Linked DNA regions of Xenopus tropicalis. The protein of the gene in region 1 purifies or fractionates together with the protein of each later gene. This does not show direct contact. Links are inferred from orthologs where the notes say so. Each region holds a gene or a part of one and is shown on either strand. Other genes may lie near its edges.

Region 1 (4,422 bases):
ATAATGCTATAGGACTAAATAAACGTTAATAGGTTCTTGCTTGTACACATTGACTTGTTAACCTCTCTTTATAAAACAAGTCTGTTTTAATATATCTTAAACTGAACAAGGAATCCGTGATTTAAGTTATTATTTTTCCTCTATTTTCCTCATCGCCGGATAATCCCAAGGTACATTTTGATTAAAAGTACTGCATAAAGCACAAGCACTGAATTTACACTCATTTTAAAAGGAGGGGGATGGAAAAAACAATACTGAAAAATGTTATTTGTAAATTAGCAAATATTTTTATATTCTGCCAAAAACACATTATAGTACTTAGTTTAAAATCTTTTTTTACAATCACTGATACGACCCAAACATTTAAAAGGCACCCAAAAGCTGAAGACTACTCTAAATTTCTGCATTACAGTACATAAAGGATGCCCAACCAGAGCCCAGTGGGCCAGCTATGGCCCTGCCACTGTTTTGTTTCAACAAGTCTAAGATTTGTTCTTAGCGAAGAAAAAGATGTAAACTGCCACATAGGCTGTTGTGCATTGTCTTTTTCTTTATATCACCTAGTATGTGAACGCATGTAATGTAATGGCTGCTATCCTATCAAAGGTTTGAATACATTTGTTTTTAAAACAAGGCTCCAAAGTGTAGCTGCCACAATGATATAACTCTTAAAGGAGTGCTTCACCTTTAATTTTACTTTTAGAATGTTATAGAATGGCCAAGTCTAAGCAGCTTTTCAATTGGTCTTCATTATTTACTCCTTATAGTTTTTGAATTATTTGCCTTCTTCTTTAAATTCTTTGTAGCTTTCAAATGGGGGACATTGACCCCAGCAGCCAAAAACTACAGACTACAGTTTTATTGTTATTATTACTTTTTATCATTTTTTTCTCTCCTCCTCATCAGTCTCTTATTCAAACCACTCCCTGGCTGCGAAGGTAATTTGTACCATAGCTGTTAAAACTCCAATATGAAGAGTTGCTGAACTAGAATTTAATTTAAAAAAAAAACTACTGACAAAAAATCAAGACCAACTGCAAAGATATTATACTCTACATTATACTAAAAGTTAACTCAGAGGTGAACAACCCCTTTGAAACTGCTGCAATGTTTTTTACAGACAGTGAACATGTTGTACATTAAAGACCCAGTCACAGAAAGGCAATGGGCTTTAGCCACAGCACAAATGCAATACCTGTATTTGAAACAGTGAGACCGTGAGACACTTGAGTGTGTCAGATGCTGACATTGCATCTATGCAGTTGGTAGTCTGGCCATTCTTTGAAAAGGCCCTCTATTTATTGCATGTTTAAGATGCAGCTGTCATACATTGGAATGGAGCACATAATACTTCAAACCCTGGCATAAAAGCAAAATGAAATGATCTTTTATAGACGTAGAACACTATTATCTCATATCAGTGTGCTGCAATCACAGCAGATATTGCCTTGCACCATTACTAGTATAAAATTGTGACCAACAACTGCATTTTAAAACTCTTTCCATATGAATGCATGGTTGTGATGTTCTGCTAGCATAACTAAATGTATTTAAAGGTCACCAAATATCTGTAAATAATTATGAAATAAATAGAAAAAGATACTTATAAAATACATTGATAATATATTCAAAGTTAACAAGAATAGGCACGGAAATAAGAATAAAAAAATGTAACATCTAAACATTGACAATAAGGAAAACTGACTTCTGGCATAATAATTCAAGATACAGAACAGAAGCACAGAAAGGAATAAACAAATGTCTTTTTTTCTGGAATACATTTAAAAATCACTATAAAAATCTCATAAAAATGTTTTAATAGTCACGCAAAACAACAGAAAAGTATCATACATAAAAATTCACATGTTATTAATACATTGCAGTCATAAAGTATCTGGTTTTACACACATACAACATATAGATACAGTTGTGTATTCACTGTGATGGACCAACCTGCAGTGTGGGCTCAAAAGACATTGTTGGGTTGTGCTCCTGACTAGACATCCCTGACCTCCTACACAAACTGCACCCAGTTCAACAATAATATACAACACACTCCTCCAGCCATGCTATTAACATGTGCAGAATCTACAGATGGACTGATATAGAAACATAAAACCAGTGGGTATTTCTCTGACTGTATATGACACACTACCCATAAAAGGCATGTTCAACAAAAATGCAAAATTCTGTAAACTAAACTAACATACACAAACTGACCTCTTCCTCCCAACTTCCAGTGCATACGGCTCCCCTCCTCCCTCGCATGACAGTGCAATCCCCCTACTCCTCCTTCTTACCGGGCCTCTCCCCGCTGCCCACACCAACAAATGCCCACTTCAGTGTCCTAATACACTGTATGCTCTGTCCATAAATGTACTTTCGGGGTGCAATGTATACACGTGTTTGTATATGTACACTGGGTGGCCTCTAACCGTGTCCCGGGCCTGAAGCCTCGGCCTTGAATGTAAACAGAGCCCGAGCACGAGAGGGGAAGGGGGCAGTAAGATGCGGAGCCTGCCGACTGGGCGACAGGTAAAAGGAAACGATGGGGTAGCGTTACATGCCGGGCCAAGAGGGTAACAGAAGCTCCCAGGAACAGCAAGTGGAGCCGGCAGCACAGGGAGGAGGCCTGGGCCTGTACCCTCACCACTCTGGAGGAGATATATTAACAGGAAGTACAGAGGAATGGCTGCCTACTGAGAGATGTGCGTGTGCGGGGGTACTGGTGTGGGGACACTAGCTTTCTAGCCCCCCATGTCCTCCCATCACGGCTCTCACCTTCATGTCGGGACATCCTATCGCTCAGGCCGCCGCCGCTGCAGCTGCTGCTCCGGCTCCTCCTCCTCCTAGTGAGACAGCAGTGTGTGTGTGTGTGCTTCCTCTGCACCCTCCTCCTCTTCCTCCTGACACACGCTCACAGACAGCACACGTACAGAGGAACACTGGAAGCAGGTAAGGCACACCAAGTCTAAAAGAGGCTCTACTCACTCAAGCATCACTTTGGGGTCCATACACATTATTTCGCAGACACCAGTTAAGCTATTTAGGCTATGCATAAATATATAGACGGCTTATTCCTGAATTAGATTAAATACGGAAGGGATTTAGTATGGGTTAAATATATTTGATATATGCATTATACATGATCAGTACCTAAAACAACTCTATATTAATGGTCAGTATTATAGTGTGATGTAGATTATGGACGTCCAACCTACCTCTTTCTTCTGTTGTTGTTGGGCTGCAGCTTACATAAACCCCACAGTCTCTAGCTGTTGTGCTGCTGTGGGAGAAATAGTTTTTCTGTACACTCTTAAAACTGTTGTGGAAAGCCTATATTTCTGCTTTTGTGGAGAGGTGGCTCATCCAGAATAATTGCCAGATTATATATATATATATATATATATATATATATATATATATACACACACACACACACACACACACACACACACACACATAATTTTATATGTGCTCTAATTTCAAAATGTTTCTGCACAGGCACATGTGCATTTCTTGGGATGGAAAATTACTTAAGACAGTTAAAGGAATGCTGTAATGGGAAAATATGTTTTTTCAATACACATAAGTTAATAGAGCATTGAAATCCATTTTTCAAAAATGCAAAAAGATTTTTTTATATTTAAAGGAGAAGGAAAGGCTAAGTCACTGGGGGTGCCAAAAGGTTAGGTACCCCCACAGTTACTTTAATAGCTTACCTTTTACCCCGTGAGCGAGTTTCTCCTCTTCGTTCTTCTGTCTTCACTTTAACCAAAAAAGTCGGCTTTTTTTTACTCTACTGTGCATGCGCCGGCCCCGGGATTCAGAGGAAAGAAGGAAGAGAAAACACTAAACTAAGAATATGTCTAGCTCCATGTCAAATATCAAAATTAAACTTAAAAAAATCTGTTTGCTCTTTGGGAAAAAAGGGTAGTCAATGCAGGATTCTTCTGGAAGAGCGCTATTAACTGATTCATTTGTAAAAAAACATGTTTTCCTGTGACAGAATCCCTTTTACTTTTATTATAATGTAGAGAGTGATATGCAGAGACAATTAGCAGTTAGTCTTCATTTTTGTTTCTTCGTTTTTAATTATTCAGTTTTTTTTTGTTTTGTTTTTTTTTCAATCAGCAGCTCTTGGTTGTAAATTTCCCTTCAACCAAGTGTTCGTGTGAATTGGAGACTGGATTATGAGTAGGACAAGCCTGAATAGAAATATATGTGATAAAAAGTAACAATAGAAATTGTAGCCTCACAGAGCAAAAGTTTTTTGTGACCCCCATTTGAAAGCTGGCAAGAGTCTAAAGAAGAAGGCATATAATTCAACTACTATAAAAAAAAAAAAAAATGAAGACAAATTGAAAAGCTATTAAAAAAGAGAATAAGGGACAAGAGTGCCTTTTTGGCAAAAAAAAAAAA
Region 2 (4,235 bases), on another chromosome or scaffold:
AAGTTTTGCTCCATTTTACACCTTTTTTGTTGTCCACCCAGTATAAAACATAATCACCAGCATATAGTAAATTTACATTTTCCCGGATATTAAGACTTTTCTGATCCCCTATACTGTATAGAGGAAGGAGACCCCGCAGCCAGGGTCTACTTCCTCTATACAGAGGGCCATGGAGGGAGGTGTTTGCGAGTCCAATTTTACATGGAGGGGGGGGGCTAGAAAAAACATTTTGGTGAGAGGCTCAGGCACACTGCTAGCACATAATGTAACTTTTAGATTTGCTTGTCAGAAAAAAATCTGTGCTATGCAACTTGCCAGCTAAGCTCACTATTTCTAACAATCATGTATGGGATCTCATATTTAGAAACCCAATATCAAGAAAGCTCAGAATAATTCCTTCTCTGGAATAATAAAACAATACCTTGTACTTGATGGTAACTATGCCACATGAATCTATGTAGGTAGGAAACCAATTTATATAAATAAAATTCTATTAAATGTAAAGGTCCATTTTAATTACTAATAACATATATTTATAAGCACCAACCACAGGGCTATAGATATTCTAAGTATCTATAGCAATATAACATACTTCCCAACATTTGAAAAATGAAAAGAGGGACAAAAAGTTTTGGTGCGCGTAGCGCGGCAATTTTTTGACCACGCCCACTTTTGTGGCCACGCCCCAATTACCTCACCCCATTTTTTGTAAAAATACTCCTTTTATATAGATGAAATGGCGGGATCAGACGCAAATGTGCTATACCCTCATACTGTACTACCTAAGGAAAACAATATAGCAACTCCTACATTAAAATACAAATATAGAGAGAAGGCAGTCAGTTATAAGTGAGTTATAACTATCTACCAGTTTTGCCCCCCATACACAGGAGCCCCCCCATACACAGGAGCCCCGCCACACACAGTGTCCCCTATACACAGTAGCCCCCCATACACAGTAGCCCCCCATACACAGTAGCCCCACATACACAGTGCCCCCCATACACAGTAGCCCCCCCATACACAGTGCCCCCTATACACAGTAGCCCCCCATACACAGTGCCCCCTATACACAGTAGCCCCCATACACAGTGCCAGGGCCGGATTTGTTTTCGGCGCGCCCCTAGGCCACCCCATTGAACGGCCCGTGCCCCCCCAATGCGCATGCGCAAATGAGCGAACAACCACTCGTCTCCCTACCCCGCCCTCCCTGCGCGCTCGCGAGTGCGCATGCTCATACATTTAAAGGAGCCCCACCACACACAGTGTCCCCTATACAAAGTAGCCCCCCATACACAGTAGCCCCCCCATACACAGTGCCCCCTATACACAGTAGCCCCCCATACACAGTGCCCCCTATACACAGTAGCCCCCATACACAGTGCCAGGGCCGGATTTGTTTGCGGCGCGCCCCTAGGCCACCCCGTTGAACGGCCCGCGCCCCCCCAATGCGCATGCGCAAATGAGCGAACAACCGCTCGTCTCCCTACCCCGCCCCCTCATACACTTAAAGCCCCACTTCTCCCCACTGCTCCGTATTGAAAAAAACTTTAAAAATTCCATTGCGGCGGGGCGGCATGCCGCCCCTACTTTTCTGCCGCCCTAGGCCCGGGCCTTTGTGGCCTCTTCACAAATCCGGGCCTGCACAGTGCCCCCTATACACAGTAGCCCCCCCATACACAGTGCCCCCTATACACAGTAGCCCCCATACACATTACCCCCCACAGTAGCTCCTCCTTCTGCGGCTCCTCTCCTTATGCGGCGGCGACAGGCCCTTTATATGGTTGCGCCCGTGCGTAATGATGCCAGCGCATCCCGCAATGTGGGACATTCATGGAACTATCTGGGACAGCGGGATGCGCCATGAAAAGCGGGACTGTCCCGCGAAAAGCGGTGTATGTGTCTGCTATATTTTATGAATGAGCGATACTTCCCCTGCATGCTGTGCTCTGCCAGAGATTCCCAGGAGTGAGAGATATATGTTAGGGGTGGGAAGGTGAAACTGCCCAGCACACAAATAAAGGCAGCAGCCTCTTCTGCCTGATAAAAGACAGAGCCCCCTCAGCCCCTCACCCACTGAGCAGGAGAGGAATGCAGCCAATGCCAATAGTTAACCCTTGCCTGTCACAAATGCTCCTCCCAGGACAATTAAACATCAAGGTAAGGCTGTGAGCTTGAGTGTAGCAGGGGAGATTGAAGAGTTAAGGGGGCGGGGCTTTATTCCCCGGAGCAGAGCAAGCACAGCAATCAATTAAATGGCAAACCTAAAAAGCGGGACATCTAACAGTGAATCCGGGACAGCGGGAAGTGCCATAAATATCGGGACTGTCCCGCTGAAAGTGGGACGGTTGGGAGGTATGATTAATAATGTCAAGTCAAAAGACAGCTAAGTGTTATTTTGGATTTATTATAATCCTAAAACCCACATATTGTTGAGCAAATTACTCGCCACTGTGCACAGGAGCAGTTTCTTTGCTATTGCATATGACATTCCTGCACATTTAAATAATATTTCACTTCATCTGGCTGACACCTAGCAGGGGAGTTAAAGCACCAATGTCAGCAAGTTACATCAAGTAAGATCAGCCGCAGGTTAGGCGGCATTACCTTTCACAAGAAGCCTCACCTGCAAGCCTAGGAACTATGACTTTGGACTGAATAAGCCCCTGCGCACAAGACCCCAGCGCCCACACACAGGCTCGGCGTAAGGTTACGGACGCCATATCTGCTCTCCGCCCTCCTCCTCACACTGCCAGTAAAGCAACGCGAGAGCCGCAGTTCCCAGGAACAAGGACCTGTCACATTACTAGGTGAATGCCAGAGGCTGTGTCTGTGGTGCATACCTCCCAACCGTCCCGCTTTCAGGGACAGGGACGATATTTATGGCACTTCCTGCTGTCCCGGATTCACTGTTAGATGTCCCACTTTTCAGGTTTGCAATTTAATTGATTGCTGTGCTTGCTCTGCTCAGGGGAATAAAGCCCCGCCCCCTTAACTCTTCAATCTCCCCTGCTACACTCAAGCTCACAGCCTTACCTTGATGTTTAATTGTCCTGGGAGGAGCATTTGTGACAGGCAAGGGTTAACTATTGGCATTGGCTGCATTCCTCTCCTGCTCAGTGGGTGAGGGGCTGAGGGGGCTCTGTCTTTTATCAGGCAGAAGAGGCTGCTGCCTTTATTTGTGTGCTGGGCAGTTTCACCTTCCCACCCCTAACATATATCTCTCACTCCTGGGAATCTCTGGCAGAGCACAGCATGCAGGGGAAGTATCGCTCATTCATAAAATATAGCAGACACATACACCGCTTTTCGCGGGACAGTCCCGCTTTTCATGGTGCATCCCACTGTCCCAGATAGTTCCATGAATGTCCCACATTGCGGGATGCGCTGGCTGGAGCCGGACGTTCAGACTTCCCCGGCGGCTTTACTCGTTATGCGGCTCCTTATACAGCACGACAGGCCCTTTTATAAGGTTGCGCCTGTGGGTACGTGTGACATCATTACGCACGGGCGCAACCATATAAAGGGCCTGTCGCCGCCGCATAAGGAGAGGAGCCGCAGAAGAAGGAGGAGCTACTGTGGGGGGTAATGTGTATGGGGGGGTAATGTGTATGAGGGGGCACTGTGCAGGCCTGGATTTGTGGAGAGGCCACAAAAGCCCGGGCCTAGGGCGGCAGAAAAGTAGGGGCGGCATGCCGCCCCGCCGCAATGGAATTTTTAAAGTTTTTTTCAATACGGAGCAGTGGGAACTTCTCCCCACTGCTCCGTATGGGGCTTTAAATGTATGAGGGGGCGGGGTAGAGAGACGAGCGGTTGTTCGCTCATTTGCGCATGCGCATTGGGGGGGCGCGGGCCGTTCAACGGGGTGGCCTAGGGGCGCGCCGCAAACAAATCCGGCCCTGGCACTGTGTATGGGGGCTACTGTGTATAGGGGGCACTGTGTATGGGGGGCTACTGTGTATAGGGGGCACTGTGTATGGGGGGGCTACTGTGTATGGGGGGCTACTTTGTATAGGGGACACTGTGTGTGGTGGGGCTCCTGTGTATGGGGGGCACCTGTGTATGGGGGGCAAAACTGGTAGATAGTTATAACTCACTTATAACTGACTGCCTTCTCTCTATATTTGTATTTTAATGTAGGAGTTGCTATATTGTTTTCCTTAGGTAGTACAGTATGAGGGTATAGCACATTTGCGTCTGATCCCGCCATTTCATCTATATAAAAGGAGTATTTT

What was found.
Region 2: the proteins of kcmf1 (region 1) and abhd10 purify together in Homo sapiens (affinity purification with mass spectrometry; 3 studies listed by BioGRID and IntAct, counting the BioPlex papers as one, with this or other methods). This does not show direct contact. The link is inferred for Xenopus tropicalis from reciprocal best matches to the Homo sapiens genes KCMF1 and ABHD10.

Annotation. Positions count from the first base shown.
Region 1 is NC_030677.2:94,528,542-94,532,963, reverse strand, and holds the start of kcmf1 (E3 ubiquitin-protein ligase KCMF1), read right to left. Parts: upstream 2,837-4,422; 5' UTR 2,798-2,836; coding exon 2,782-2,797; exon of another isoform or gene 2,614-2,781; intron 1-2,613. UniProt on the Homo sapiens protein: E3 ubiquitin-protein ligase which accepts ubiquitin from an E2 ubiquitin-conjugating enzyme and then transfers it to targeted substrates, promoting their degradation by the proteasome.
Region 2 is NC_030678.2:76,649,952-76,654,186, forward strand, and holds the start of abhd10 (mycophenolic acid acyl-glucuronide esterase, mitochondrial), read right to left. Parts: upstream 2,847-4,235; 5' UTR 2,724-2,846; coding exon 2,627-2,723; intron 1-2,626. UniProt on the Homo sapiens protein: Acts as an acyl-protein thioesterase that hydrolyzes fatty acids from acylated residues in proteins.